4 linked regions of the Anolis sagrei genome follow. The protein of the gene in region 1 purifies or fractionates together with the protein of each later gene. This does not show direct contact. Links are inferred from orthologs where the notes say so. Each region holds a gene or a part of one and is shown in the gene's direction. Other genes may lie near its edges.

The links.
Region 2: the proteins of SINHCAF (region 1) and SAP130 purify together in Homo sapiens (affinity purification with mass spectrometry; 3 studies listed by BioGRID and IntAct, counting the BioPlex papers as one, with this or other methods). This does not show direct contact. The link is inferred for Anolis sagrei from reciprocal best matches to the Homo sapiens genes SINHCAF and SAP130.
Region 3: the proteins of SINHCAF (region 1) and SUDS3 purify together in Homo sapiens (affinity purification with mass spectrometry; 3 studies listed by BioGRID and IntAct, counting the BioPlex papers as one, with this or other methods). This does not show direct contact. The link is inferred for Anolis sagrei from reciprocal best matches to the Homo sapiens genes SINHCAF and SUDS3.
Region 4: the proteins of SINHCAF (region 1) and SIN3B purify together in Homo sapiens (affinity purification with mass spectrometry; 3 studies listed by BioGRID and IntAct, counting the BioPlex papers as one, with this or other methods). This does not show direct contact. The link is inferred for Anolis sagrei from reciprocal best matches to the Homo sapiens genes SINHCAF and SIN3B.

What each region holds. Positions count from the first base shown.
Region 1 is NC_090025.1:176,835,361-176,843,430, forward strand, and holds the start of SINHCAF (SIN3-HDAC complex-associated factor), read left to right. Parts: upstream 1-5,023; 5' UTR 5,024-5,191; intron 5,192-8,070. UniProt on the Homo sapiens protein: Subunit of the Sin3 deacetylase complex (Sin3/HDAC), this subunit is important for the repression of genes encoding components of the TGF-beta signaling pathway.
Region 2 is NC_090023.1:220,772,393-220,779,746, forward strand, and holds the start of SAP130 (histone deacetylase complex subunit SAP130), read left to right. Parts: upstream 1-4,297; 5' UTR 4,298-4,445; intron 4,446-4,954; exon of another isoform or gene 4,955-5,107; intron 5,108-7,354. UniProt on the Homo sapiens protein: Acts as a transcriptional repressor. May function in the assembly and/or enzymatic activity of the mSin3A corepressor complex or in mediating interactions between the complex and other regulatory complexes.
Region 3 is NC_090034.1:45,536,644-45,543,873, forward strand, and holds the start of SUDS3 (sin3 histone deacetylase corepressor complex component SDS3), read left to right. Parts: upstream 1-4,143; 5' UTR 4,144-4,299; coding exon 4,300-4,504; intron 4,505-7,225; coding exon 7,226-7,230.
Region 4 is NC_090034.1:59,382,426-59,390,011, reverse strand, and holds the start of SIN3B (paired amphipathic helix protein Sin3b), read left to right. Parts: upstream 1-4,555; 5' UTR 4,556-4,570; coding exon 4,571-4,669; intron 4,670-7,586. Other genes in the region: AP1M1 (AP-1 complex subunit mu-1), read left to right, coding at 25-100, 555-577.

The sequences.
Region 1 (8,070 bases):
GCCGAAGTTTGCACATGCCTGCTCTACAGCTAGCCTGTGAAGTCAAACATCATAGTCGGCAGTTTCACTCCACATGAATGGTGTGTGAAAAACATCTTATATATGAGGGTTGAATAAAAAGTAATGCCTCCACCTTCATAACTCCTCAACAGATGGCAGTACTGGTATGTGGCAGGTACTGTCTTGTTCAGTAGACTCTCCTCTACAGTTCCATTTTGGTGGGAAGCCTTAGCATTGAACGGTTGTGTTGTTAAAGTACAAAGTATGGAACCCTGCACAGACTGTCGGTCAATGCGACTTAAGCAACATGCAGTCATTGAATTCTTGACAGCAGAAGGTGTCACCTCAACATCTTTAAACGTACTCACCCAACGACGCACAGTACTCACATCAACACAGTCACCATAAACAGCTTGCATTCTCTGATGAATCTCCTTTGGGGTGACACCTTCTGCTGTCAAGAATTCAATGACTTAACCTTGCTTAAGTCGCATTGACTGACCATCTGAATTCTTGACAGCAGGTGGTGTCACCTCAACATCTTTAAACGTACTCGCCCAACGACGCACAGTTCTCACATCAACACAATCACCATAAACAACTTGCATTCTCTGATGAATCTCCTTTGGGGTGACACCTTCTGCTGTCAAGAATTCAATGACTGCACGTTGCTTAAGTTGCATTGACCGATCGTCTGTGCAGGGTTCCATACTTCGCACTTTAACAACACAACTGTTCAATGCTAAGGCCAAAATGGAACTGTAGAGGGGAGTCTACTGAACAAGCCAGTACCTGCCGCATACCAGTACTGCCATCTGTTGAGGAGTTACGAAGGTGGAGGCATTATTTTTCATTCAACCCTCGTATGTCTCTTTCCAGTGTTGTACATTTATGTAGTATTATCCCAACCTTTGAAGCATGAGATTGATCTTCGATAGACCTGTCAATTTGACAACTTCAGGAGTGCACTTCGTTGTGGACGTTTGTTTTCTCCCTTTCATGTGCAACTTTGCAAATAAAAGAAAATAACCGCCAGACAGTTTTGCGCATTTGGAACGTAAAGAAACTGCTGTCTTTTCTAAGGAGGGTGAAGACTTAGTTGTGGTTCTCCACAGTTTAGCACACCCTTTTGGCATCAGTATTAATAAGCCTTTGTAGATGTGAGAAAGTGAATTTTAAGATGACCAAAGCATTCTGGTTAATGACAGTTAATTCTGTATTCAGGAACAGTTTCTCTCAAACATTCTTTAACATAACTGCTATACTAATATAGTATTTTAATAGAATTTAAATGCGGATTAGTGTGTGAACAGTTCACAAATCTCAGGCTAACCAGAATGAGGTTATCTCGGTGCTGGAAAACTGTATTTCATCTTCTGCAGCCCATATATTCAGAGGTAAATTCCAATGGAGTTACATGGAAATGACTTCTGAATAAAAAAGTTTGGGCCTGGGCTGTTAATCGGGGTTTGTTTTTGTTTTGGTTTAGTGTGTTTGAGAAATGCTGCCGTTATATGTATTTTGCTTTCTCTTCCTCTCATCAAAAGTAAATATCTTATTAAGGAAATGTTGTATGTTACAGTTGAAATTGTACAAGTAGATGAGGTATAGTTTATTAAAGAACCCCTCCCTCCCCATCCCTTAAGTAACCCTAGAGTATGTTGCTGGTTTTATGTTTTACATGATTAGTAAGTTAATCAAGACTGGATAATGTTAAGGAAGTGGATATCAGTAAAAGTATTGTTATTTCAAGCACTTTAGCATACATATCACAAACTGATGTGCATTGGATTTTCTTTTCCCTTTTCCCGGGGTTTGGATTACAATTAAATGCAGCTTTTCATGCAATGGTCTTTACAAATAAAACTGTGAGAATAATACAGTCTGCTCAACAGTGCTTTATTGAAGTCAATAGACAAAACATATACACACATACACCCGGGGGGGGGGGGGGGGGCTGGTGGCCCAGCAAGTGAAAACACTGAGCTGCTGAATTTGCAAGTTGAATTCAGGGAGCAGGGTGAGCTCCCGCTGTTACACCCAGCTTCCACCAACCTAGCAGTTCGAAAACATGCAAATGTGAGTAGATCAATAGGAAGGCAATGGCGCTCCATGCAGTCATGCTGGACACATGACCTAGGTGGTGTCTATAGACAACGCTGGCACTTCAGCTTAGAAATGGAGATGAGAACCACCCCCTGGGATCAGACACAACTAGACTTAATGTCAGGGGAAGCCTTTACATTTACCTTTTATACACATGGGAGGTAACGTAAGACCTAAACTGGCAACCCTCTCTGGCAAGTTAAGATACAAAAACCTATTGCAAACTGCATAACGTATATAAGATCATTTCTATACAAAGCTAATAGAAAACATCCTGCTGGTGTGTTCTGCCTGTTTATAAATTATCAAGCTGCTTAGCAGTAATATCAGCCTATCCAAAGGTAATGTGTTTATATACTATGCAATGAAGGAAGTACTTCTGTGTGTGCCTTTCATGACACTGATAGAAAGTAAAGTAAGCTGTCACCACGTTTCTTCAAGTGGTCATCTGTGAAATTTGCACTTTTCCCCCTGTTCCTTGTGCAAATTTCAGAGACCATACTGAATAAAATAAGGTTGCTTGTTGGATCTTCTTGCAGTCCAAGGCACTCTCAGAACTTTCCTCCAACACCACAGCTCAAAAGCATCGATCTTCCTTCGCTCAGCCTTCCCTAGGTGTTGGAGGAAAGTTCTGAGAGTGCCTTGGACTGCGAGAAGATCCAACCAGTCCATCCTCCAGGAAATAAAGCCCGGCTACTCATTGGAGGGAAGGATACTAGAGACAAAGTTGAAGTACGTTGGCCACATCATGAGGAGACAGCAAAGCCTAGAGAAGACAATTATGCTGGGGAAAGTGGAAGGCAAAAGGAAGAGGGGCCGACCAAGGGCAAGATGGATGGATGGCATCCTTGAAGTGACCGGACTGACCTTGAAGGAGCTGGGGGTGGTGACGGCCGACAGGGAGCTCTGGCGTGGGCTGGTCCATGAGGTCACGAAGAGTCAGAGACGACTGAACGAATGAACAACAACAGTGCCGGAGGGAGCATTTCAGACCTGTGAAATGGCAAGGGGCTACAAGCAGCATAACTCTACATATCAGCATAATGCTCAGCACAATAAAGGTTTAAATAACTCTCCCCCCCACCCCCCAAAAATAATGTTGAGCCATGGTGGAACCCATAAACCTCTGGGTAAGGAGGGCCAGCTGTAATACATTCAGAAAGGATGCAAGTTGGAGCCAGTTCAGAGAAGACAAAACACGAGGAAAGGTTGAAGAAATGGATGTGTTCATCCTGGTAAAGAGATGATAAAGGGTGACCAGACTGTACTGTTTAATTACAGAAAGGAGGGAGCACATCTGACCAAGTCTAAGGGTTTCATGCATTTGAAGGATAATTTGACTGAATATTTCCTATTGACCATGACTTGAAGTCACACAACAACAACAAACAATGGTTTGGTAATGGAGCTGACTGCCTAGAATGAAGGTGCAGTTTTCTGGATATCATCAAAAACAGGATACAGAGCTACTTCACCTGGAAACCCTGCATTGAGCAGATGGCTGGACTCAGTGATCAATAAAGACACTTCCAACTACAATTTTGATGATTCTATAGAATCATTTATTTTGGAGTGGTATTTTGTTTTACACTGTATTGTGAACCATCTTGGGTCTCATGTTAGTCCAGACTGGGCATAAATAACTGCACTTGTGCTGCTGCCTCCTTTTCGTGTGCCTCAATGGGTGCTCTTGCACTGTATATTAATAACATACAACACACACACACGCACGCACACACACACATATATATTAAAAATACACACAACATTCTGTGGGACTTTTGAATCCAAACTGACAAAGCTGCACGGTGATTAAATGCTAATCAAGGTGGGATTCCCACAGGAAGGAAGCAGCCAGGCTTTGAAACTGCAAAGTGATTAAATGCTAATCAAGATGTGATTTCCCCCAGGCAGGAAGCAGCCAGGCTTTGAATCTGCAAGGCGATTAAATACTAATCAAGGTGGGATTCCCCCAGGCAGGAAGCAACCAGGCTTTGAAGCTGCAAGGCAATTAAATGCTAATCAAAGTGGGATCCCCCCAGGAAGGATGCAGCCAGGCTTTGAAGCTGCAAGGTGATTAAATACTAATCAAGGTGGGATTCCCCCAGGCAGGAAGCAGCCAGGCTTTGAAGCTGCAAGGTGATTAAATACTAATCAAGGTGGGGTTCATCCCGGCAGGAAGCAACCAGGCTTTGAAGCTGCAAGGCAATTAAATGCTAATCAATGTGGGATTCCCCCAGGCAGGAAGCAGCCAGGCTTTGAACCTGCAAGGCGATTAAATGCTGATCAAGGTGGGATTCCCCCAGGCAAGAAGCAGCCAGGCTTTGAAGCTGCAAGGCGATTAAATGCTAATCAATGTGGGATTCTCCCAGGAAGGATGCAGCCAGGCTTTGAAGCTGCAAGGTGATTAAATACTAATCAAGGTGGGATTCCCCCAGGCAGGAAGCAGCCAGGCTTTGAAGCTGCAAGGCGATTAAATGCTAATCAAGGTGGGACTCCCCCAGGAAGGAAGCAGCCAGGCTTTGAAGCTGCAAGGCGATTAAATGCTAATGAAGATGTCCAATTGCAACATTCACACTTGCTTCAAGCAGGCAATACTTTTTTTTCTCCCATTTTGGGACATTCCAGAGAGATATAACCCTCTCTTGCCTAATTTCCAACAAACCTCACAACCTCTGGGGATGCCTGCCATAGATGTGGGCGAAACATCAGGAGAGAATGCTTCTGGAGCATAGCCAAACAGCCCGGAAAACTCACTTTGAATTCCATTCTCATTCAAGAATGTAACCCATTCTATTTTTGTGACGTCACCCCTTACGTCACAGCAACCACGCCCCCTCATCCTCTGCCTCCCGTCGCTCCCCCGGCCCCCTCTCGTCTTAAAGAGACATGCAACACGCCGAGAAGGCGCTCCATTGAGGAGCCAGCCCGTGGGAATGGCGCATGCGCAGGCGGGGCTGGCGGTTAAGCCAATGAGCCCGGCGCTTGCTCTTGGCATCCCAGCAGCGAGACAAACGAGGGAGGCAGAAAGAGAGAGAGAGAGAGGCGAGGAAGGCTTTCTGCACAAAAGAGTGACTTGTGGGAGGTAAGAGTTGGAAAAGTTTGGGGAAAACCTCCAAACTCCTTTGGAGAGAACTACGATGTGAGGATAAGTTGGAAAGTGATTGGAGGCGTGATTGAACCGGAGTTGGGCTTGGAGCGGGAAGGCATTGTTGCAGGTCGGGGGCGCCACATGGCCGGGGACGAGGAAGGAGTGTCTCTGCAGAGGGAGGGAAGGCAAGGCAGGCAAGGCAGAGTGCCTGGCCCTGGAGTCCTTCCTTCCTTCCTCCTCTCTCTTTGGTCTCAGAAGGGAGGGAAAGAGTGCTCTTTGTTGACCCAGGTGACCCTCAAAGGCTGCCTACCTGTTTGCAGCCAAGCCCTGCCCCTCAATCAAGGCAAGGAAGACTTCCCTTGCTTTTGGGGAATCCCGGAAGTCCCATTTCGAACGTTCAGTCCACCAACGTTCTATTATGGTCCCAACGTTCCACTCTCCACTGTTTGGCACCTGTAGATGGGGAAAGGGAAGCTGCCATGGCTGACTCAAGGGGGGGAAGTGGGAGGAGGAGGAGGAGGCTGGGGCCTTGGAGAGGAATTCATACTTACTTAACTAAGTAATAATAATAATAATAAACTTTATTTATACCCTGCCACCATCTCCTCAAAGGGGAGGCTAATATGAGACCCAAGTCCAAAAATAATACAGCAAAGTTAAACACAACATAACAGAAAAATCACATCACAGCAAAAGCTCCCATGGCTGTATCAATGGGGGAAAGTGGGAGGAGGAGGCTGGGGCCTTGAGAAATAATTAATCATTACTTAATTAAGTAATAATAATAATAAACTCTATTTATACTTCACCAAATAATACAGCAAAGTTAAACACAAAATTACAGAAAAATCACATCACAACGAAAGCTGCCATGGCTGTATCAATGGGGGAAAGTGGGAGAAGGAGGCTGGGGCCTTGAGAAATAATTAATCATTACTTAATTAAGTAATAATAATAATAAACTCTATTTATACTTCACCAAATAATACAGCAAAGTTAAACACAAAATAACAGAAAAATCACATCACAACAAAAGCTGCCATGGCTGTATCAATGGGGGAAAGTGGGAGGGGGAGGCTGGGGTCTTGAAGAGTAATTAACACTTACTTACTTAATTAAGTAATAATAATAATAAATGGAAGTGAGAGGAGGAGGCTGGGACCTTGAAGAGTAATTAATCATTACTTAATTAAGTAATAGTAATAATAATAATAAATTTTATTTATACCCCACCACCATCTCTCCACAGGGGACTCAGGGAGGCCAAAAGTAATGCAGCAAAGTTAAACACAAAATAACAGAAAAATCACATCACAACCAAAGCTACCATGGCTGTATCAATAGGGGAAAGTAGGAGGAGGAGGCTGGGGCCTTGAATAATAATTAATAATTAATTAAGTAATAATAATAATAAACTTTATGTATACCCCGCCACCATCTCTCCAAAGGAGGGGCTGCGGCCTTGAAGAGTAATTAATACTTACTTAATTAAGTAATAATAATAATAAATTTTATTTATACCCTGCCACCAACTCTCCAAAGGGAACTCAGGGAGGCTAATATGAGGCCAAAAATAATACAGGAAAGTTAAACACAAAATAACAGAAAAATTACATCACAACAAAAGCTGCCATGGCTGTATCAATGGGAGAAAGTGGGAGGAGGAGGCTGGGGCCTTCAAGAATAATTAATAATTACTTAATTAAGTAATAATAATAATATCGATGCTTAATAATAATAATAATAAGATCGATGCTTTTGAGCTGTGGTGCTGGAGGAAAGTGCTGAGAGTGCCTTGGACTGCGAGAAGATCCAACCAGTCCATCCTCCAGGAAATAAAATCCGACTGCTCACTGGAGGGAAGGATACTAGAGACAAAGCTGAAGTACTTTGGCCCCATCATGAGGAGACAGCAAAGCCTAGAGAAGACAATTATGCTGGGGAAAGTGGAAGGCAAAAGGAAGAGGGGCCGACCAAGGGCAAGATGGATGGATGGCATCCTTGAAGTGACTGGACTGACCTTGAAGGAGCTGGGGGTGGTGACGGCCGACAGGGAGCTCTGGCGTGGGCTGGTCCATGAGGTCACAAAGAGTCAGAGACGATTGAACGAATGAACAACAACAACTATAATAAATGGAAGTGAGAGGAGGAGGCTAGGATCTTGAAGAATAATTAGTAATTACTTAACTAAGTAATAATAATAATAATAATAAACTTTATTTATACCCCGCCACCATCTCTCCAAAAGGGACTCAGGGAGGCTAACATGAGGCCAAACCCAAAAATAATACACAACAAAAGCTGCCATGGCTGTATCAATGGGGGAAAGTGGGAGAAGGAGGCTGGGGCCTTGAAGAGTAATTAATTCATAGAATCAGAGAGTTAGAAGAGACTTCTTGGACCATCCAGTCCAACCCCCTGTTAAGAAACAGGAAAATTGCATTCAAAGCACTCCCAACAGATGGCCATCCAGCCTCTGTTTAAAAACCTGCAAAGAAGGAGCTTCCACCACACTCCAGGGCAGAGAGTTCCACTGCTGAACGGCTCTCACAGTCAGGAAGTTCTTCCTCATGTTCAGATGGAATCTACTTAATTAATTACTTAATTAAGTAATTAAAAGTAAGACCTTGAAGAGTATTTATTTATTTATTTACAACAGTTCTATTCCGCCCTTCTCACCCTGCTGGGAACTCAGGGCCAGGACTCAGGGTGGATGACTATGCACATATACATGGCAAACATTCAATGCCATTTAGATATACAACATAGAATAACCAAAAATAACAAAGATAGTGGACCTGATGGGATCCCTGCTGATGTCTTTAGAGAGGTAGGACCTGAGCTGACACCACAACTCCACCAGCTGTAGACAA
Region 2 (7,354 bases), on another chromosome or scaffold:
TTTATTGTTTTAATTAAAATCCTATTTATTGTTTTAATTCTTGTTATATTGACTTCACTTCACTTTATTTCTTAATTAGTCGCTCTCCACCAAGGTGCTCCGAGCGACTTACAATTTAAAATATAATTTAATACACAATATAAAAACATTCAACATAAAAACATACAACAGAGACTATTTGGCACATTAGATCTGATTAGATATTTAATGGCATCAAACTGTATCAAATGTAAGCCTTTGTGTTGGAAAACCTTTGTGTTGGAAAAGGTCATTAAAGATACTGAAGGTAGATTCATAATGATAATAGGTAAAATTAACAATACTCAGGTATCAATAGCAAGTGTCTATGCCCCAAATCAGAAACAAGTAAAATTTATAAACAAAACTTGCTCAAAAATAGAAAAGCATGCAATAGGAGATATAATAGTCGGTGGGGACCTAAATTTACAATTGTACAAAAAAACGAAGAGTAATAGAACTGGAAATTCAGGTACAAATTGTAAGATAAATTTCAGTAAGTGGAACTTAATAGAGGCCAACAATAGAATAGGGGAACGAGCAGATACCCCAACACACTACTCACATAGGCACTCAACATTTTCTACCATAGACTATTTCCTGGTGGGTATCAACAACACAATGCCAATAAAAGAACTTTTGGTGGGCAATTATTGGCCAGGAGACCATGCACCTCTCTACTTAAAATTAGGAAATTATACCATAAACAAAGTGAAAAAATGGAGATTTAACCCAAAAGTTGCTTATAAAGAGTCAGACAGGAAAGAGATAAATGAACAAATTATTCAGTATTTTAACTTAAACAGAACCCCTGGAATGAAAGAAAACATAGTTTGGGATGCTTTCAAGGCAGTAATTAGAGGAAAGTGTATAACAATCGAGAAGGGAATAAATAAAAGAGAAAATGAAAGATTAAGGAAATTGAGGTCTGAAGTAGAAGAAGCGTTCCAATCATTTCAAAAAGACCAAACAGTGGGGGGGAAAAAGAGATGGATAGAGTTAAATAAACAACTAGAAAACCTGGAGGAAATTGAAAGTACAAAGAAATATATCTGGGTCAAGAACGACTTTCAGACAAACTCCATAAATAACACAAAGAAATTAGCAAATTTCCTAAAAAAGAAACAAGGGAAAACAAAAATCTTTAATTTGAAAGACGAGATGGGCCAAATAAAAACAAGTGAGGAGGACCTAAAGGAAATAATGGCCAATTACTACGAAAAGCTGTACACAAGTAAGGATACAGTGAAATCGGAAGGACTACTCCAAAAAAAATTAGACCCTCTATCCCAAGCAACACTGGACAGGATCATCACTAGCAATGAAATAGAGGAGGTAATAAAGAAATTAAAAATAAACTCTTCACCAGGCCCCGATGGGCTCACTACAAATTTCTATAAAATTTTTCAAAAGGAAGTCACCCCTAATTTACTAATACTATATAATGAAATCATGGAAAATAAACTAATTCCAGAAACATGGAAAAAATCCGAAATTACAACAATTTTAAAACCAAACAAAGAGGGGACTGACCCCAACTCATATAGGCCTATTACTTTATGCAACGTGGACTACAAAATTTTCACAAAAATAATAGCTAATAGGCTGAAAGAGGTAATACCCACTCTAATTGAGGAAGATCAATACGGCTTTACTATAAAAAGAAAGATAGCGGACCCAATTAGAAATATCATAAATATAATTGACCATGCAACTAGAGAGAAAACAAAATTACTCCTAATAAAATTAGATGTTTACAAAGCATTCGATACAATAAATCATAATTATTTGGCTAACTTATGCGAGGAGAGTAACTTAGGAAAAAAGATATGTGGAGTAATTAAGGAACTGTATAAAGATAATCTAGCTGAAGTGATAGTAAACGGATCCAATTCTAGAACTATTGAAATCAAAAGCGGAACCAAACAAGGTTGCCCTCTTTCCCCCCTTCTCTTTGCACTAGCGATAGAACCTTTTGCTAATCTAATCAGATCAAACAAAAACATAAAAGGATATAAGATAGATAAAGAAGAAATAAAAATAAATTTGTATGCAGACGACGCAGTAGTCCTCATAGGTTCAATGGAGAATTCGGTAATTGAAGTAACGAAAGAAATTAAAAAATTTGAAAAGATCTCAGGCTTAACAATTAATATTGAAAAATCAGAAATCCTACCTAAAAACATGAACTGGAAGGAGGTGAAAGAAGTCCAATCTATTCTAGGGGTCAAACTGGGGGAAAAGAAGTTAAAATACTTAGGAGTGTATATACCTAAAAATCTAAATAACATAATTCAGATAAATTATAACCAACTATGGAAGAAAATAAGCAAACAGATTAACAATTGGAAAAAATGGAATTGGGATATAACAACAAGGGTGAAGACATATAAAATGATGATACTGCCCAAATTTTTGTACTTATTTCAATGCCTTCCATGTAGCATTCCTCCCAAAATAATAAAGAAATGGGATAACTCAATTAAAACATGGGTAGTAGGCTCTAGTAAAACCAGAATTGCAAATTCAATTTTTTATACTCCACAAGAAAATGGAGGTTGGGGAGCACCTTGCCTCCAGAACTATTACGAAGCCTGTCAATTGGTTAGGTTACTTGAATTAGATATCGGTGAGCCCAAAAGATGGGTTAGGTTAGAGAAATTAACAAACGGGTGGGAATATGGATCTTGCATTATGGGGAAAATTGGGGGGAAAGAACTAAAAAACATAAAAGGAGGCCCCTTGTCATTAACAATGACTTGTTGGGGAAAATGGCAAAATAAACTCCCAGTAAATAAAATAGACAAGCTCCCAATAGGTTCCTTAGACAACAGAAAACCCCAGCTATATCGCAACATTCTAAAGAAACTGGAACAAAACGGAATAACAAAGATTGAGGACTTACTAAAACCAGACGGGACTGTAATTCAATGGGAGGAAATAAAAGATAAATGCGGGCATGGAAATTGGTTACAATGGGGAGGGCTGTCTAAAAAGCTAATAGAATTGAAGAATAAGGAAACCTCAGAAACAAATCTCGACAAAATAATAAAATGGAAAGTAGAGAGGGAGAAAGGAATCATGGGATTTATATATAACACAATCACCGAAATACAATACAACACAAAATCTACCCTAATAGAAGTCTGGAAGGAGGAATTAAGTTGCAGTGAGAGAGAAATAGACAATTGGATTAATTCAATCAATAAAATAAAACACCTAAAGATTAAAGAAATGCAACGAAAAATATTGACAAAATGGTACAGAACTCCTGTGCAACTGGCGCATATCACAAAAACGTGCCCAAAATTATGTTGGCACAACTGTGGTAAAATAGGAACATATGCCCACATGTGGTGGGAATGTGAAAAAATCCAAAAGTTCCAAGAAATAATCAGGAAAGAAATGGAGGAGCTATTAGGGATCAAGATAGAATGGAATAAGGCCCAATTTTTCACTCAGAAATTCGAAAATAAAGAGGAATATAAGGAAAGTGAGGAAATAATAAAACATATGATAGAGGGAATTAAAGCCTCAGTGGCCCTGGGCTGGAAAGACCACAAGAAATGGGATACAAAAACCTGGTACAAATATTTAGCAGATTACCTTCTTCAAGATTATATTAGCGAAAGGAAAAGTTACTATATGACGGGTCAAAGCAAAAAGACATGGAAAGCAAAATGGAAGGGTCTCATATATAGAATAAAGGGGAAAGATAAATATACGGTGTTGAACAAAACTATTCTCATGATTGAACAATTGTAATAAACACAGTTAAAGTATCTATTTGTTCCCGGGGGGGGGGGGGGTGTGCTGGTGGCGGGATTGGGGAAAAAACTGGTATTTTGAATGTTATTTTCAAAGATGGAATGTTTCTATGTATTATACAATAGTAATAATAAAATTTAAAAAAAAATGTAAGCCGCCCTGAGTCCTCCTTCGCGGGTTGAGAAGGATGGGGTAGAAATGCTGGAAATAAATCAATGCTCTCTTACTGCTCCCAGTCTGTTTTCCCGCCATCTCTATATGAAGCAGAGAAACTGCTTCTCCCTCCAAAGCCATTCACAAAGAAGCCAACCAATCAGGGCCTCGGTAGGCGGAGAGAACACACAAGCGTCCCGCCCCCTTCCGAGGGACCAATAGCACTCTTTCTGCTCCAACTAGCGTCTCGCGACATCACCCTAATCCAGGCTCAGATCTCGAACTCCAACTCCCAGGAGCCCCTTCGCGACCAGCGTTCTGACCAATCGCCGCCTCCCGCCACAGTGGGCGGAACTAGCCGGGAGCCAATCAGCGAGAAGCGGGGAGGGGTGCGTCGCTGCGGCAGCGGAAGCAACACTCCCGGACTGAGCCCCCGCGCGGTGTCAGCCCCGAAAGCGGCGCTGGGGGCTTTCGTGAGGGAGATTCCGCCGCAACTCCGGCTGCAGGTAACTGGCCGGGGGAGGGACGCGCTTCGGAGGCAGGGCTCCGTAGAGAGGCGCCCGCCAGCCAGCGCTGGAGAAGACAAGCCGGAGTGGCGCGCACCTCCTCTTCGAGGCCTCGATTGCTTCAGAGTGCGTTCGCGGTCGCTTTTTTATCCTCGCCCAACATCCGGGTCCCCGGCCTTGCGCGTCTGTTTCACATAGTGATCAGGGAGGAGAAGGGAGGCGGGACAACGAGCCATCGCCCGCCTCCTCATTGGCTGTTTACAGGCTTCCTCATTGGCTGGGAGGGCCTTCTCCATTCTGTGTTGGATTGGCCAGATGTAGAGAGAAGTCGACTTGCCATTGGAGGAGGGGCGGGGTTTACACATTAGCCCGTGGGCGGGGCCTGTTGCTTGGTAGGCTGTGTTCGCCCCTGCGCTGGATTGGCTAGGCGGGAGGAGAGGCTTGCTTCCCATTGGTCGCCGCGGGAGTGGGGGCTGGGCTAGCATAGGCTCGAATGGGCGGGGCTTGCGCCGAGATCCAGAGCTCCGGAGACGCCCCTGCTCGATGCCTTCGCTCTTGCGGCCGGATTTGGCACCCAAAGCCTCCTGATCGCAGCTGCCGCCAGAGAAGAAAGTTAGACGGGGCCGAAATGTGAGGACAGCAGCTGATCCTGGGCAACGAAGGTGGGATTAGCGGGATCAGCAAGAGGGGCGTCTGCACTGTCCAGTTAATGCAGTTCGCCAACACTTGAGCTGCCCTGATTTAGTGCCTCGGAATGATGGGGGTCTTTAGCCTTCTCTGCACCGAGCCGTGGCAGCTCAAGCGGGGTCAAACCGCATTAATTATTCAGTGTAGAGGCTCCCCACGATCGTTGGGAGTTCCGTCTGCGTTGGAATGGAGAATGGGGGGTGGAAAGAGCCCTTCGGTGCATCTCTATTGTAGAATTATTGCAGTTTGATACCACCTTAATTGCCACGGTTCAATGCTACATAATCACGGGAGTTGTAGTTTTGCAGGGTCTTTAGCCAACTCTGCCAAAGAATGTCCGTTTCTCACCAAACTACAACTCCCAGGATTCCACAAACTACAACTCCCAGAATGCCACGAACTACAACTCCCAGGATTCCACAGCATTGAGCCTTAGCTCTTAAAGTGGTGCCAAAATTTATTAATTCCTTTGCTCTCTGCCAAAGAGTGTCCGTTTCTCACCAAACTACAACTCCCAGAATGCCACAAACTACAACTCCCAGGATTCCACAGCATTGAGTCATAACAGTTAAAGTGCTGCCAAATTTCATTAATTCCTTTGCATAGGAATGATGACTATGTGGCCATTGAGACTGATCAGTTGCAGCGCCTGTCGTTTCTTAACTGCCTTAAGTATTTTTGGGGGGAGATAAATCGAATAATCGCTGAGTTGCTGTGAGTTTTCTGGGCTGTCTGGCCATGTTCCAGAATGTCATTGAAAGCCATTGAAATCCACAAGCATGTGGACAGTTGCAACAGAAAGGAGGAAACCATGAAAATGAAGGAAATCTGATTTACCAGTATTAAAAAAACTCTAAGGGCAGTAAATAAAGAACAACACTCAGAAAACAGGAGAATTCCAGACAAGAATAAATTGGAGCCAGTTAACACCTCCAGACAAAGCATTCCCCCAGGCAGCAACCAGGCAAGCTTTGAAGGCCATTCAATGCTAATCAAAGTGGCCAATAGCTACATTTGCTCTTGCCTCAAACAGACAAGAGTTCTTTCTCCCACCCTGGACATCCCACAGATATATAAACCCCACTTCCCTAGTTTCCAGCAGACCTTACAACCTTTGAGGATGCCTGCCATTGATGTACATGAAACGTCAGGACAGAATGCTTCTGGAACATTTATTTATTTATTTGCGACATTTATATTCTGCCCTTCTCACCCCGAAGGGGACTCAGAGCGGCTTACAAGATAGATACGTACATACAATACATTATACCATTAGCACAGTACAATATCAGCACTATACATCACGATATTGTACTATACAATTATATTGTAATATTATTAGTAATATTACATGTAATATAAAATATATAATTATAATATCATATTATTAGTAGTAGTATTATACTGTATTACATTATAATATTCTAAATGTATGGAACATGGCCATACAGCCTGGAAAACTCACAGCAACCCAGTGATTCCGGCCATGAAATTCTTTGGCAACACATCAAGTAATAGCTACTCATGAAAGCCAACATGGTGTAGTGGTTTGAGCATTGGACTGTGACTCTGGATACTCAAATGTAACTCAGACATGGAAACCCACTTGGGGTGTGCAAGTCACACACTCTGAATCTCATAAGAGGGCAAAGACAAACTTTCACAGAACAAATCTTGCTAAGGAAGGTTCATGATAAGTTCATCTTAGGATCAGAAATAATTTCGAGGCATAGAGATGCTAGAGATGGGCAAAAAAGCTCTTCCACAGGGAAAAGTGGAGCAACAGCACCCCCACCCTGGTGGCAGAACCAAGCACAGATGCAGAAGATATATACCTCTATCTATGTTAGTGGTTCCCAGCCTGTAGGTCCCCATGTGTTTTGGCCTACAGCTCCCAGAAATCCCATCCAGTTTACCAACTGTTAGGATTTCTGGGAGTTGAAGGCCAAAACTGTATTCTATGTACAGTTGTCTGTCTTGTCAGTGTATAACTGCATTGAATGTTTGCCATATATGTGTTCTACGATCCACTCTTAGTCCCCTTTGGAATGAGAAGGGCGGAATATAAACACTAAATAAATAAATTAGTAATATTGAAAAATATGTTGTATATTTAGCTGTGATGGAGCCTAATAAAATATTCTGATTTAGGAACATAGTATACATGTCTGCCCACTGTCAGATGTTACACAACATAGCCAAAACGGCAAAAGTATGATAGC
Region 3 (7,230 bases), on another chromosome or scaffold:
TGCAGATTGATTCATTGCCAGTATGATGTCTCTACGCATAACCAATTTATTGAGATTGGTTATTGCTCTCTTCCCAAGAAGGAAACATCTTCTGATTTTCTGGCTGCAGTCTGCGTCTGCAGTCATCTTCACACCTAATAATACAAAGTTTGTTGCTGCCTCCACATTTTATATTTATTTATACCCTGCTTTATCTCCCCTGAAGGGGACTCAAAGCTGTTTTTGTTCCTGGATTATAAAGGTCATATCCTAATTGATTCTAACATAAAAACATGGGAAAAGTTGAATAAACTGCCCAAACGTTGGTTTTTACATGGCATCCTGCAGCACATTTTGCTCTAGTTTTTCAATGAATATCTCATCATTTAGTCTCAACCAATTCAACATATAACCCTTCCAGACAGGCCCTATATCCCAGAATCTGATCCCATGTTTTCTACTTTAAACTGGGGGCTCTTCCATACAGCCCTATATCCCGGAATATCAAGGCAGAAAAGCCCACAATATCTGCTTTGAACTGAATTATCTGACTCCACACTCAGATAATGTTCATAAAGGGAAAAGGGGGCATGCAGGATTGGGGAAAGATTGGCCTTTGTCATCTGAAGTTCATAAGGGAAGACATGGTTATAAAATATTATTTACTTGGCATTCCCTTTTGCTAGCCTCAGACAGAAAGGCCTTGGAATCCTTTGTCTGTAGGTCATTGACTGGTATAGGGGACAATTAGCACAGTTGTTAATTCATGGGTCTGCTTAGGTAGGCCAAAGGTCAAATGCCTTTTGTGACAGGGTTACCAGTAAATATAGCAATTACCTTTTGTTATAAATATGTAAAATATAGGGCATAAATCTTGATTAAATGTACACACAATTTAACATGGGAATGGTCCTTGTTGTGGTTGTTAGTCCTTCTGCAGATTGGCCAAAACTTAACTCTTATTATATCATTCTGATGTTGAACACGAATTTGGAAGGCCCTGCCAAGGCAGAGACCAGCTAGACCCAAAAGGGGGATCCAAAACATCTGGCAAGACAGCAAGCACAAAGAAAGATTTTCCCTTAATTTCCCAAATAAAGTCTCACCAAGTTGAAGGAAAGCCACCGAAGTTTTTATTTCATTCCAGTTGGAACGGATGACGACTGCAGTTATCTGCCTGAGGAGCTGACATGCTCACTGGGCAAGGAAATAAAATATTTATAGAACTGTCAAATTCAAATCTCCCGTGCCCACCTCCTGGTGGTTGGAGTATCAGCTGACTGGGAGGAGCAGCCGGGGAGGCTGCGTTCTGTCCAATCAGAGCACTAGCCCCGCTTCGGCCACTCAGCCAATGAGTGGAGAGGAAAGCGGGCCAGAAGGGAAACAATGAATGAATGAGTAAAGTGATGAGATTATGAATGGCCTCTTCCGCACCTGTATTGATAAGAGGGCCAAAGCGATAGCTTAGCTCTCAAGCCTCAGCCCAGACTATTGTCCTGAATCTTGAAATATCATCTTTTGTCTGGCCCCAAAGGATAGTTCCATTGTCTTATAATCCAGTGATATTTACTTGATGATGAGAGAGTTTTCACAATGGGCAGTGACACATAGGTGCCTTCTGTGTTGAATGTTTTAACGTGTCCATGGGTCACATCTTCCTGGATGGTCTGGTTAATGAGACCCTCCGAAGTCCTGGAGAGGGGCCATTGGTCCATGCAAATTGTTTTGGTCAAGTCCTTTTGTTAGGGGATTACTGGCTCAGGAAGTTGTGGAGTCCCTAGAGCCATGAGTTTCTGGCATGGTTCATGAAAAGGTCACTTTGCTTCATAACTTTTATACATACACACATATAATGGATGGTGGCACTGTAGGGGCAAAAACGATCAAGATAATCCACAAATCCAAAATCCAAGAGCAGATTGCCCCTTCCCAAGGAGGGCGAGGAAGGACACCACGAAAGTTGAATCTTTAAAACTGCAAAATGCTATTTATTGTGCAGCTGAAGCAATAGTGACAAACATGCATATAGAAATGCAATAAAGGGATTTGTCCAACCTAAAGTTGGTTGCATTGATTATTTATGACTTTCATTAAAACAGTTTGATTGGTACATAGAAATCAATCATCTCATTGGTTCCCAAAGACAAATCATTTCATTGGTCTAAGTTAACTATGCAGTTCATTAGTTGTTTGTGATTTTGATTGACATTATAGCACACGTGGGATCCTAACAATGGCACAAGTATAACATAACTATAGTCCATTGTTCTCTGACCATGACTGTATCTTATCTGTTAGTCTGTTGCAAACATGGCTTCAGAGCGACTGGGAAACTTGGGGGTTCTATCTAGCAAACAGCTAGCTGGTTTTGTCCGGATATGTTGTTACCCTTGAATAGTAACTTCTTCTTTGGAGCACTGATTTCTCAAACAATCAGCATTTTCTGTGAACAAAGGCCTACTGCAGAAATAGGCCAATATGGCAGTAAATCATGACATATGGGCATTGGGGAAATATATGAAAATTCCCTTTTTAAAACCACGTCCCCTCCAGCACGAGGCATATACAGAGATCATATGAGAAAGGGGGAGGCATGCAGGGTCAAGGGGGAATTCATCTCAGTCACCCCAAAGTCCATAAAGTTCATGAAAGTTGGCAAGAAGTTAATAAAAGTTCTCAAAGGTTTCAGAAAGTTCATGAGAGTTCATACAAGTTAATAAAGGTACCGAGTAGCTAAAGTCCATTAATAAAAACAGGAGGTTCATTCATAAGTCCAATTCATAAGTGGCGAGATTGGCCTGCCAGTGGTCGGGGGTCCCAAGGAGTGACCACAGGAGACTCCCCGGGTTTGAGAGGCTTCCAAGTCAACGTGCACAAGAAGAACAGGTTGTGTGGAGCCATGGAAATAAACCTTCCATGCAGGCATGTAGCGGGGGGGGGGGGGGGGGGGGGGGACAAATTCTCATGGTGGTTCGCGAAAAGGCCTTACTGGTGCATTATTTAAACTGTTATGTTTATTCATATCATGATCTGATCACCATACTCAATATATCCCATATGCATGGGGGTATTCAGATAATGATACAAAAGGTTTGCTAGTCTAGACCCTCTTTCACTCAGACTCAGCCCCCCCCTCGAAACTCAGCCCCCCCCCCCCCGAAACCCCCCTGAAAATTTTTTACCCCCCCCCCCCCCCCCGAAACGAAATCCTGGCTACGGGCCTGGTTCCATGCAAAGAGGTGGATCTCCGGGCGCAGGGGTCCATTCAGCAAAAAGTAAGATAGCAGTTAGTCTTAGAATTGACCCAGGAAAAAGATGACATTGATTTGGAGTCGATCGGTCAACCTGCAGACACCAGTGCCAAGCTGGTTTCCGTATCCGCGGTTTGAAGGATCGCAGTTTCGGGCTCCCCAGTACATTGTAAGAGTGTCGCAGGTGAGCCAGCGGAGTTCCGCGGCTCGGGAAGAGGAGGGTTCATATTAATTGGTGTTAGAGTCAGTAAAGGGACACAATGTATCATTGCAGAGAGAGAAACATTAGAGAAAATAATACTTTTTATTGGGGGGATTGTTACAATGAAGCGGGGGGGGGGGGGACTAGGAGGGAGGAAAAAGGTTTCTCAATTGAAGCTGTTACTGGAGCCCCAGTCCTTTGGTTCATCTTGAAAGTCCATGTTGTCAGGAACTGTGGAACTCCCTGCTGCATTCAAATCAGTTTGAAGGCGGGGGCCTCTGAGTTCGACCTCAATTCCAGCTTGCTGTCCTTGGCAAAACTATGAATTCCCTGATTATAAACTATCTTTTATCGGGGGGGGGGGGGTCACTTCCACACAGCCCTATATTCCAGAATATCAAGGCAGAAAATCTCACAATATCTGCTTTGAACGGGGTTATCTTAGTCCACACTCAGATAATGTGGGATTTCCTGTCTTAATATTCTGAGATATAGGGCCGTGTGTACGCCCTAACTGAACGCGGAAACACTTCACGAAGCGTGTGGGTCCATGACTGAGTCGAGTCTATGTTCAAGGCACTAAGAGATGGACGGCACCTGTGCTTTCCGCCTAAGGGAAGCGCTGCGGTCCAAAACTAGTGATGACAACGAGCGCGGGTAAAGACGCGCGAAGGCTTCACGGAGCGCATGCGCAAGACGAGGAGGCGGGGGAAAGATCCGGAAGCGGCTTGTGCGCCTGCGCGAGGGAGCCGAGCTGCTCCTTCGCTCGCTGTGAGGCGAAGGAGAAAAAGAGCGGGTCTCGAAGGGGGAGGGGAGGGGGCGCGCGCTCTGCGCCGCTTTCTCCGCCGCTTTCTCCGCGCTGCGGCCATGAGCGTCGCGGCCTTGGTTTCCCCCGCCCTGCCCTCGCCGGGGCCGCCCCCTCCTCCCACCGCAGCCGTTTCTACGACCACGGCGCTTCCCCCCGGGACAGGCCCCGCCCCCGCCGCCGAGAGCTATGAGGAGGAGGACCTAGACAGCCCGCTCGACGAAGAGGATGGCGAGCGGAGCGGACGCGCACGGGACTCCGACGAGGGTGAGTCTGGAGCGGCTTCTCAGGGGGCATCCACACTCCAGACCTAACGCGGTCTCGTGCCGCTCTCTTTGCCCCGGCTCAATGCTGTGGGCTCCCGGGAGTTGTCGTTTGTCGAGCCTTTGCCAGGGAAGGCGCCGGACTTGGTGAAACGAACAGCCCGAGGGATTCTGTCGCCTTGGCAGTTCCGCTGGTTTCGAACCGCGTTAATCCGACAGTGTAGGTGTCAGAGCGATGGTGCGAAGAGAAAAGGGAGATGTATTGTCGAAGGCTTTCATGGCTGGAATCACTAGGTTCTTGTGGGTTTTTTCGGGCTATAGGGCCATGTTCTAGAGGCATTTCTCCTGACGTTTCGCCTGCATCTATGGCAAGCATCCTCAGAGGTAGTGAGGACCTCACTACCTCTGAAGATGCTTGCCATAGATGCAGGCGAAACGTCAGGAGAAATGCCTCTAGAACATGGCCCTATAGCCCGAAAAAACCCACAAGAACTTAGAAAAGGGAGAGCTCGCAACGCTTCCAGGGCCCCTTCCATGCCACTTTTTAAAATCGTACATTATCTGCTTTGACCTGGAATATATGGCAGTGTGGACTGAGGGCCCTTCCGCACAGCCCTATATCCCAGAATATCAAGGCAGAAAATCCTACAATATCTACTTTGAATTGGTTTATCTGAGTCCACACTCAGATAATGTGGGCTTTCCTGCCTGGATATTCTGGGATTTAGGGCAGTATGGAAGGGCCCTCAGATAACCCAATTCCACACAGATTTTGTGGCGTTTTCTGCCTTGATATTCTGGGTTATATGGCTGCGTGGAAAGACCATGGGTTCTCCGAGTCCACACTTCCAGATCACACTGGGTCCTTCCACGCAGCCGTATAACCCAGAATATCAAGGCAGATAATCCCTAAGGCTATGCTTTGAACTGGATTATCTGAGCCCACACTGCCAGATAGGGCTTTTACCCCAGGATCTGATCTCAGGTTTTCTGTTTATCCCAGATTATCTGGCAGTGCAGACTCATAATCCAGTTTAAAGCAGAAAACTTGGGATCAGATCCCAGGTTATATGGCTGTGTGGAAGGCCCCCCAGAATATCAAGGCAGAAAATTCCACAATATCCGCTTTTAACTGGGTTATCTGAGTCCACACTGTTATATATTCCAGTGCAAAACAGATAATGTGGGATTTTATTCAGCTGTGTTGAAGGGGCCCCTTTCTACACTGCCATATAATCCACATTCTCAAAGAATTGGATTATATGAGGCCCTGTCTACACTGCCCTGTATCCCAGGATCTGTAACCATGGTTGCTCTTTATCCCAGGTTATTTTATTGTGGTGGTGGTGGTGGAGGATGTCACATAACTGTCACCTCTGGTTGCTTGATAGATCCCCCCCCCCCATCTTGATTGACAGTTGCTCGAGGATTCTGGTTGCTCAGGTTCCCGCTAACTGAGGGGCCTTCCGCACAGCCCTATATCCCAGAATATCAAGGCAGAAAATCCCACATTATCTGAGTGTGGACTCAGATAACTCAGTTCAAAGCAGATATTGTGGAAATTTCTGCCTTGATATTCTGTGTTACATGCCTGTGTGGAAGAGCCCTCAGAATCTGCTGTTACAATTTTTTAAAAATCTAAACCGAAGCAACCTGGGATAGGTTTGTGGGAGCAGATAAACCCAATCTGTGTAGAATCCTGGGATTTGTAGTTTGAGAAGCCACCAGCAGTCTCAAGGCCTTGCCAAACTACAGTTCCCATGGTTCCCTAGCAGTGAGCTGTTGAACTATTCATTTGACAGTGTGAGAGAGAGCATCCCGTCTCCCTCCCACACTGCCTTTCCCTTTTTCCTTTGTGCCATGTCTTCCTTAGATTGGAAGCCTGGGGCAGGAAACTGTTGGGTTCTTGTTTTTGCAAAGCCTGGCGCCATGGAAACAGATGGAGGAAATCAGGATGCTCTTCACCCCCAAAATGTTCCCCAATTGTCTGCGTGAGCCGGTGTGATAGCAACTCTTCTGCTTTCACGTGGCTTGATATAAACAAACCATGCTTCATGTCCAATGTTTTGTTTTTTTTAAAAAAACATTGTGCATGTGAAACATAAGAGGATTTTGTGTTTAGACCCAAGATATCTCACAATATATGTGCAAATATTCCCCAACACCTCTGGTCCCAAGCATTTCAAATAAAGGATTCTTGAGCAATTATTATAATAGATGTGACATTCCTATTGATCTGTCTCTAGGGTTTGAGTATAGAAAGAAATAGAAATCAAGACCTGGTAATGGGTTTCAGACCAGCCTTCCCTTTATAATACTAAGTAACACAATTTTTGTTCCTGGGTTATAAATGTCATTCCTGATTAGTTCTTTCATAAAATATGGAAAAAGTTTATTAAACTGCATCTTGCAGCACATTTTGCTCTAGTTTTTCAGTAAATATCTCATAGAGTCTCAACCAATTCAACGTAATTTGTGGCAGCCACAAACATGAAGTTTCTGTATAACAGCTCCTTTAAAAGTAAGCACCGTACAATCAAACAGGAACAACACTTTCAAACCAGGAACAGAACATTTTTCAAAATTTGTTACCTAGGGTAATCAACTTAGTTTCTTTACAATGGTAAAGCAGATGCCCAGATCCCTTGTCATTGAAGTAGGTGCATAGACAAAAATCTACTGGTTGCTTGTACTCTGATGCAATGCTGATGCTCCTGTTGTTCAGATACA
Region 4 (7,586 bases), on another chromosome or scaffold:
CAATATATCTCCTTCTCTCCTTAGGTCCGCTACTTGAAGATCATCGAGAAGAGCGGCTACCAGGCCTTGCCGTGGGTGCGATACATCACGCAGAACGGAGGTGCGTTGACAACAGAAAAAAGGAAAAGCACAATCAAATCCCTTCCGACAGATGGCCATCCAGCCTCTGTTTCAAAGCCTCCAGGGAAGGAGCTTCCACTGGATTCTGAGGCAGAGAGTTCCACTGTTGAACAGCTTTATGTGTTTTATCTCAGATAACCAAAAATGGTGGTAATGGGTAATATAAGGTGGAACACTATATCTCTAAGTGGGGGGCAGTAGTAAAGTGCAGGGACTGTAAATTGGGGTCATAACTGGGAGCCAGCATTTTTCTGGGGAAATCGTCTAATCAAAAGCACAGTGGAACATATCTTGTAATTTTTATTATATAATAATATAATATAATTAGAATGATTTATTATTATTATTATTATTATTATTATTATTATTATTTTCACGTTTCCTTCAGGAGGGTCTAGCTTTGCTCACTCATCCGTTTTGTCTTTTTTGTCTAGATTACCAGCTACGGACGCAGTAGCATGTGGCCAAAAATAAGTCCCATTCCGGAGTGCGTTTGGTGCTTGGAGGTCTGGGGAAAAGCCCCGTTCAGTGTTGTCCGTCTTAGGAGTAGCTGTTGCCCGGGAAGGAGGCCGGAGCCTTGCAAGTATTAGCCTGAGTATTAGCTCCTTCTCCTCTATAGATGGGGAGGGAGAGAGAGAGAGATCCATGTTGGTGCCTCTTCTTCGTTCGAGCCAATCCCAGGTTGCCATTTCATCCCAGGTTTGCGTGTTATTGTGTTTCGTTTCCCCCCAAAGCAATGGCTTTCTCTCTTTGTGAAGTCCATGCCATGTTTTGCAAACAACTGCCTTAATGCTGGTTTCTTTGAAGGCAGGTTTAGCCCAACCCCAATGTTGCTTCTGTCCCATTATAAGTCTATGGGTTCGAGGTCAGGTTTGGCAACGGTTCACAAACAACCTCATAATTGACCATAACCCTTGTAGCTCGTTGTGTCGGTGTCTCTTCTGAATAAATTTCATTTCTCATGATCCGAACCTTGGCTCCACTTTCATCTGTTTGACGACCTCAGGTATAATATAATGGTATAGTAATATATAATACTGATATTGTACTATGCTAAAAATATGGCAGAGAGATGTCAACTCTGTTGCTAAGAAAAAGATCTATGCCAGTGCAAAAGCTGAGGTCCAAAGGACAAGAGAAGTCAAGAACATCTGGTGGACAAAGAAGGCTGAAGAAATCTGGCAAGACGAAGAAGCCCAATATTCCTAAATAAGTTGAAGAATGTTGCACCATTAAGCTGTATTTCTGGCATTGCAGAGGGATTGGTCGGTGCCTTTTGCTGGAAGATCACTTTGGTTTTCTCAGTGTTCAGTGAGAGCCTGAGCTTCCCATATGCTTCTGCAAAGGTATTTAGAGAGGCATGTAGGTTTTCTTCTGAATGCGCACAGACTACGTTATCATCGGCATATTGGAGTTCTATAACAGATGTTGTGACCTTGGTTTTGGCTTTCAGTGGGCAGAGGTGAAATAGCTGCCACATAGCCATTAGAGGGCATCTTTTAATAGGGAGTGAATAAAGGGCCTGCTTTTCTGCAATGAGACACTAGATGGCGGCCTTGTATACGGCTTGTGTCGGCCTTTCTCAGTATTTATTTGTAGTGTCAGGGCAACCAGTCGATTATATTACATTTCTAACAGAACAAAGCAAACAAACAGACAAAATACAAAATATGTGAGTTTGGTAGTTGATTAAATGTCCTTTGACCAGTATCTGGCCACTTGGAGTGCTTCTGGTGTTGCCGCAAGAAGGTCCTCCATTGTGCATGTGGCAGGGCTCAGGTTGCATTGCAGCAAGTGGTCTGTAGTTTGCTCTTCTCCACACTTGCATGTCGAGGATTCCACTTTGTAGCCCCATTTCTGAAGGTTGGCTCTGCATCTCGTGGTGCCAGAGCGCAGTCTGTTCAGTGCCTTCCAAATCGCCCAGTCTTCTTTGTGCCCAGGGGGGGGGTCTCTCATTTGGTATCAGCCATTGCTTGAGGTTCTGGGTTTGAGCCTGCCACTTTTGGACTCCCGCTTGCTGAGGTGTTCCAGCGAGCGTCTCTGTAGATCTTAGAAAACTATTTCTAGATTTAAGTCGTTGACGTGCTGGCTGATACCCAAACAAGGGATGAGCTGGAGATGTCACTACCTTGGTCCTTTCACTATTGGCTGCTACTTCCCGGCAAATGTCAGGTGGCGCAATACCAGCTAAGCAGTGTAATTTCTCCAGTGGTGTAGGGCGCAGGCACCCCGTGATAATGCGGCATGTCTCATTAAGAGCCACATCCACTGTTTTAGTGTGGTGAGATGTGTTCCACACTGGGCATGCGTACTCAGCAGCAGAGTAGCACAACGCAAGGGCAGATGTCTTCACTGTATCTGGTTGTGATCCCCAGGTTGTGCCAGTCAGCTTTCGTATGATATTGTTTCTAGCACCCACTTTTTGCTTGATATTCAGGCAGTGCTTTTTGTAGGTAAGAGCACTGTCCAGAGTGACTCCCAGGTATTTGGGTGCGCTGCAATGCTCCAGTGGGATTCCTTCCCAGGTGATCCTCAGAGCTCGGGATGCTTCTCTGTTCTTGAGATGAAAAGCACATGTCTGTGTTTTAGATGGGTTGGGGATTATTATTATTATTATTATTATTATTATTATTAAACTTTATTTGTACCCCGCTAATCCCGAAGGATTCGATGTGGCTTACACAGGCCGAGGCCTCAACACACAACATAGCAATACAAACTAGGCAAATCAAACAATTAAAAACAGGATAAAGCAGATAAACAACAGGCAAAAGCAATACACTAAAACACAATAAAAACTGGGCCAGGCCAAAGTAATGGGTACAAGAATTAAAAGTGCTGATGTGACAGGTGGTGTATATGAGTCTTCTAGGGCAAGTGTGATGTGCAGCAGTCATTGGTTCTGATAAGGTGCTTATGGGACTTGGTAGTGGAGATTTCCTAATCTGGGAAGGTGCATCGGAAAAGCCAAGTCTTCAAGTTCTTTCTGAAGACTGCCAGTGTGGGGGCCTGTCTAAGGTCTTTGGGGAGGACCCAGAGTCTGAGGGCCACCACGGAAAAGGCCCTGTCCCGCATCCCCACCAAGCGCGCTTGCGACGCAGGTGGGATCATGAGCAGGGCCTCTCCAGATGACCGAAGTGAGCGTGTGGGTTCGTAGATGGAAATGTGGTCACGCAGGTAAGCTGGTCCCAAACCGTTCAGGGCTTTGTAGGTAAGCACCTGCACCTTAAATTGAGCTCGGAATATAGCCAGTGGAGCTCCTTGAACCGGGCTCAATTCAAAGTGCTGGCGTTGGCCTATAAAGCCCTAAACGGTTCTGGCCCAAGTTACCTATCCGAACGTATCTCTGCCTATGAACCCACCAGGACACTAAGATCTTCTGGGGAGGCCCTGCTCTTGATCCCGCCTGCATCACAAGCAAGGCTGGCGGGGACGAGGGACAGGGCCTTCTCTGTGGTGGCCCCTCGGCTGTGGAACGCCCTTCCCATGGACATTAGATCAGCCCCTTCGCTAATGGTGTTTTGAAGAAAACTAAAAACCTGGCTGTTTGAACAGGCGTTCGGATAAATAGTGCAATGAACACGATGAATATAGGAAACGGAATTATGGATGACGAATTGGATCACGATTTTAGTTACGAGACGTTAATGTGTTGTTATTGAGATGTCATTAGTTTATATTTTATACTGTTAATAGTTTTAATATTGTATGTTGTTGGATTGTCTTTTGCTCTTGTTGTGAACCGCGTTGAGTCGCCTACGGGCTGAGAAACTGCGGTATACAAGCAAAGTAAATAAATAAATTGAACAGGAGGGTTGACCTCTCTCTGTAAGGGGCTCCCGTTAACATCCTTGCTGCTGATCGTTGCACCAGTTGCAACTTCCGAGCTGTCTTCAAGGGCAGCCTCACGTAGAGCGCATTGCAGTAGTCCAGCTGGTTTTCCCTGTAATAGGCAGTAAGAGCTTCGGAAAGCTTCTGTTCTGCCATCTCAAAGCTCCCTGCTTGAGCGGTGATGGCACGATCATCAGCATAGATGAAACTCTCTGTCCCTTCTGGCAGTGGCTGGCCATTTGTGTAGATGTTGAACATGGATGGAGCAAGTAAAGTAGGGTTGGGTCTCCTGATCCTGCATTTCATCACAAACGTCAAGTCTTTCCCTCGCTCGAGAGAAGAGCGGTGTCCTTCACTTCCTGGTCCCTTCCTTTGGCCGCTCTGCGCCGCAACTCTATGCCCCCCCCCCCCCCCCTCAGCCGCGCGCCTATTTGTTTGGCCGCTCTTTCTGCGCTGTACCCTCTTCCGGTCCGGTTCCTTTTTCCCTTCCGGGCGGGTGCTTCTTCCCGAAGCGCGAAGGTTCCGCTTTGGCCCCACCTCCCCGAGCGCGGTGACGCAAAAGGCGGAGGAAGGAAAGAAGGAAGGAAGGAGGGAGGGAAGGAGGGAGGGAGCGAGGGACATGGCGGCGGGGGGCGGCGGCCGAGCGGGTCCGCGCTTGGGGGGCCGGGCAGCCACAGCAGCAAACGGGGGGCCCACCGGGGAGAAGCTTCCTGTCCACGTAAGTAAGATGAGGGGGGGAAGGGGGGGAGGAGAGGGAGAGGAGAAGTTGGGGGTTGGGAAGAAAAGCCCCTCCCAATCCTCGAATATTGGGGAGGGGGTCCTTTAACCCCCTCTCCCCCTTTTGCCCCCCTTTTGGGGGGGTTGCAAAACGCCCAATAAACTGGGTAGAATGAATGTATGGAACATATATCTCTATCTCTATCTATCTATCAATCCATCTTTCAGACCATCTATCTCTATCTATCTATCTATCTATCTATTTGACTGAAGACCGACAGGTCGCAGGTTCGAATCCGGGGAGAGGCGGATGAGCTCCCTCTGTCAGCTCCAGCTCCCCATGCGGGGACAGGAGAGAAGCCTTCCACAAGGATGATAAAAACATCAAAATCATCCCCTGGGCAACGTCCTTGCAGACAGTCAATTCTCTCACGCCAGAAGCGACTTGCAGTTTCTCAGGTCGCTCCTGACACGACAAAAAAAAATTATCTGACTATCTATCAGACCATAGATACTATCAGATACACAGATACTATCTATCACTATATCTATCTATCTATCTATATTGATCTATCTGACAAAAAAAAATCTATCTGACTATCAGGCCATAGATACTATCTATCAGACTATATCTCTATCTATCTATCTCTATCGATCTATCTATCTGACAAAAAAAAAATCTATCTGACTATCTATCAGACCATAGATACTATCAGATACATAGATACTATCTATCAGACTATATCTATCTCTATATCGATCTATCTATCTCTATCGATCTATCTATCTGACAAAAAAAAAATCTATCTGACTATCTATCAGACCATAGATACTATCAGATACATAGATACTATCTATCAGACTATATCTATCTCTATATCGATCTATCTATCTCCTATCTATCTGACAAAAAAAAATCTATCTGACTATCTATCAGACCATAGATACTATCAGATACATAGATACTATCTATCAGACTATATCTATCTCTATATCGATCTATCTATCTCTATCGATCTATCTATCTGACAAAAAAAATCTATCTGACTATCAGACCATAGATACTATCAGATACATAGATACTATCTATCAGACTATATCTATCTCTATCTATCTATATCGATCTATCTATCTCTATCGATCTATCTATCTGACAAAAAAATACCTATCTGACTATCAGACCATAGATACTATCAGATACATAGATACTATCTATCAGACTTATCTATCTATCTCTATCGATCTATCTCTATCTATCTATCTATCTATCTGACAATCTATCTATCAGACCATCATCAGTCCGAAGACCAAAATTTGCTTGAAGTCCCCAACATCCGGACTTACCATCTGTCCTCTGCTAGGCAGAGACCCTTCTCGATTGTGGCCCCTTATTTATGGAAGGCCTTGCCAGTTGAAACCCGAACCATCCGAGAGCTACTTGCTTTTCGGAAAGCCTGTAAAACCTTTCTTTTCCGACAAGCTTTCAATGGGTGAATAACTCGGGACTGTGTCTGTTCTCGTTTTTATTGTATTTTGAGGTTGGTTGTATTGTTTTAATCTACTGCTATAAACCACTCCGAGCCAAATTGGGGGTGGCGGTATACAAGCCTAATAAATAAATAAATAAATAAATCTACATTTATCTATCTGACTATCAGACCATCAATCTATCTATATCTATCCGTCTATCTGAGTATCTATATCTATCTACCTGACTATCAGACCATCAATCTATCTATCTATCTATATCTATCTATCTATCTATCTATCTATCTATCTATCTATCAGACCATCTATCTATATCTATCTATCAGACCATCAATATATATATATATATATATATATATATATATATATATATCTGACTATCTATCAGACCATCAATTTATCTATATCTATCTATCTATCTATCTATCTATCTATCTGACAATCTATCTATCAGACCATCAATTTATCTATATCTATCCGTCTATCTGACTATCTATATCTATCTATCTATCTATCTATCTGACTATCTATCTATCAGACCATCTATCTCTATCTATCTATCTATCTATCTATCTGACTATCTATCACAGTGGTTCTCAACCTGGGGTCCCCAGATGTTTTTGGCCTACAACTCCCAGAAATCCTAGCCAGTTTACCAGCTGTTAGGATTTCTGGGAATTAAAGGCCAAAAACATCTGGGGACCCCAGGTTGAGAACCACTGATCTATCAGATCATCAATTTATCTATATCTGTCAGTCTATCTGATTATCTATCTATATCTATCTATCTGACTATCTATCAGACCATCAATTTATCTATATCTATCTGTCTGACTATCTATCTATATTTATCTATCAGACCATCTATCTATATCTATCTATCTATCTATCTATCTATCTCAGCCTTTCTAATGCCACGACCCCTGAATATAGTTCCTCATGTTGTGGTGAACCCCAACCATAAACATATTTTCGTTGCTACTTCATAACTCTCATTTTGCTATTGTTATGAATCGTCATGTAAATATCTGATATGCAGGATGTATTTTCATTCACTGGACCAAATTTGGCACAAATATCCAATATACCCAAATTTGAATACTAGTGGGGTGGGAGAGGATTGATTTTTTCATTTGGGAGTTGTCGTTGCTGGGATTTATAGTTCACCTACAGTCAAAGAGTATTCTGAACCCCACCAACGATGAAATTAAACCAGACTTGACACACAGAACTCCCATGACCCACAGAAAATACTAGAAGGGTTTGGTGGGCATTGACCTTGAGTTTTGGAGTTGTAGTTTGCCTCCATCCAGAGAGCATTGTGGACTCAAACAGTGATGGATCTGGATCAAACTTGGCATGGATACTCAATATGCCCAGATGTGGAGGAGTTTGCGGAAAATAGACCTTGCCATTTGGCCATTGTAGTT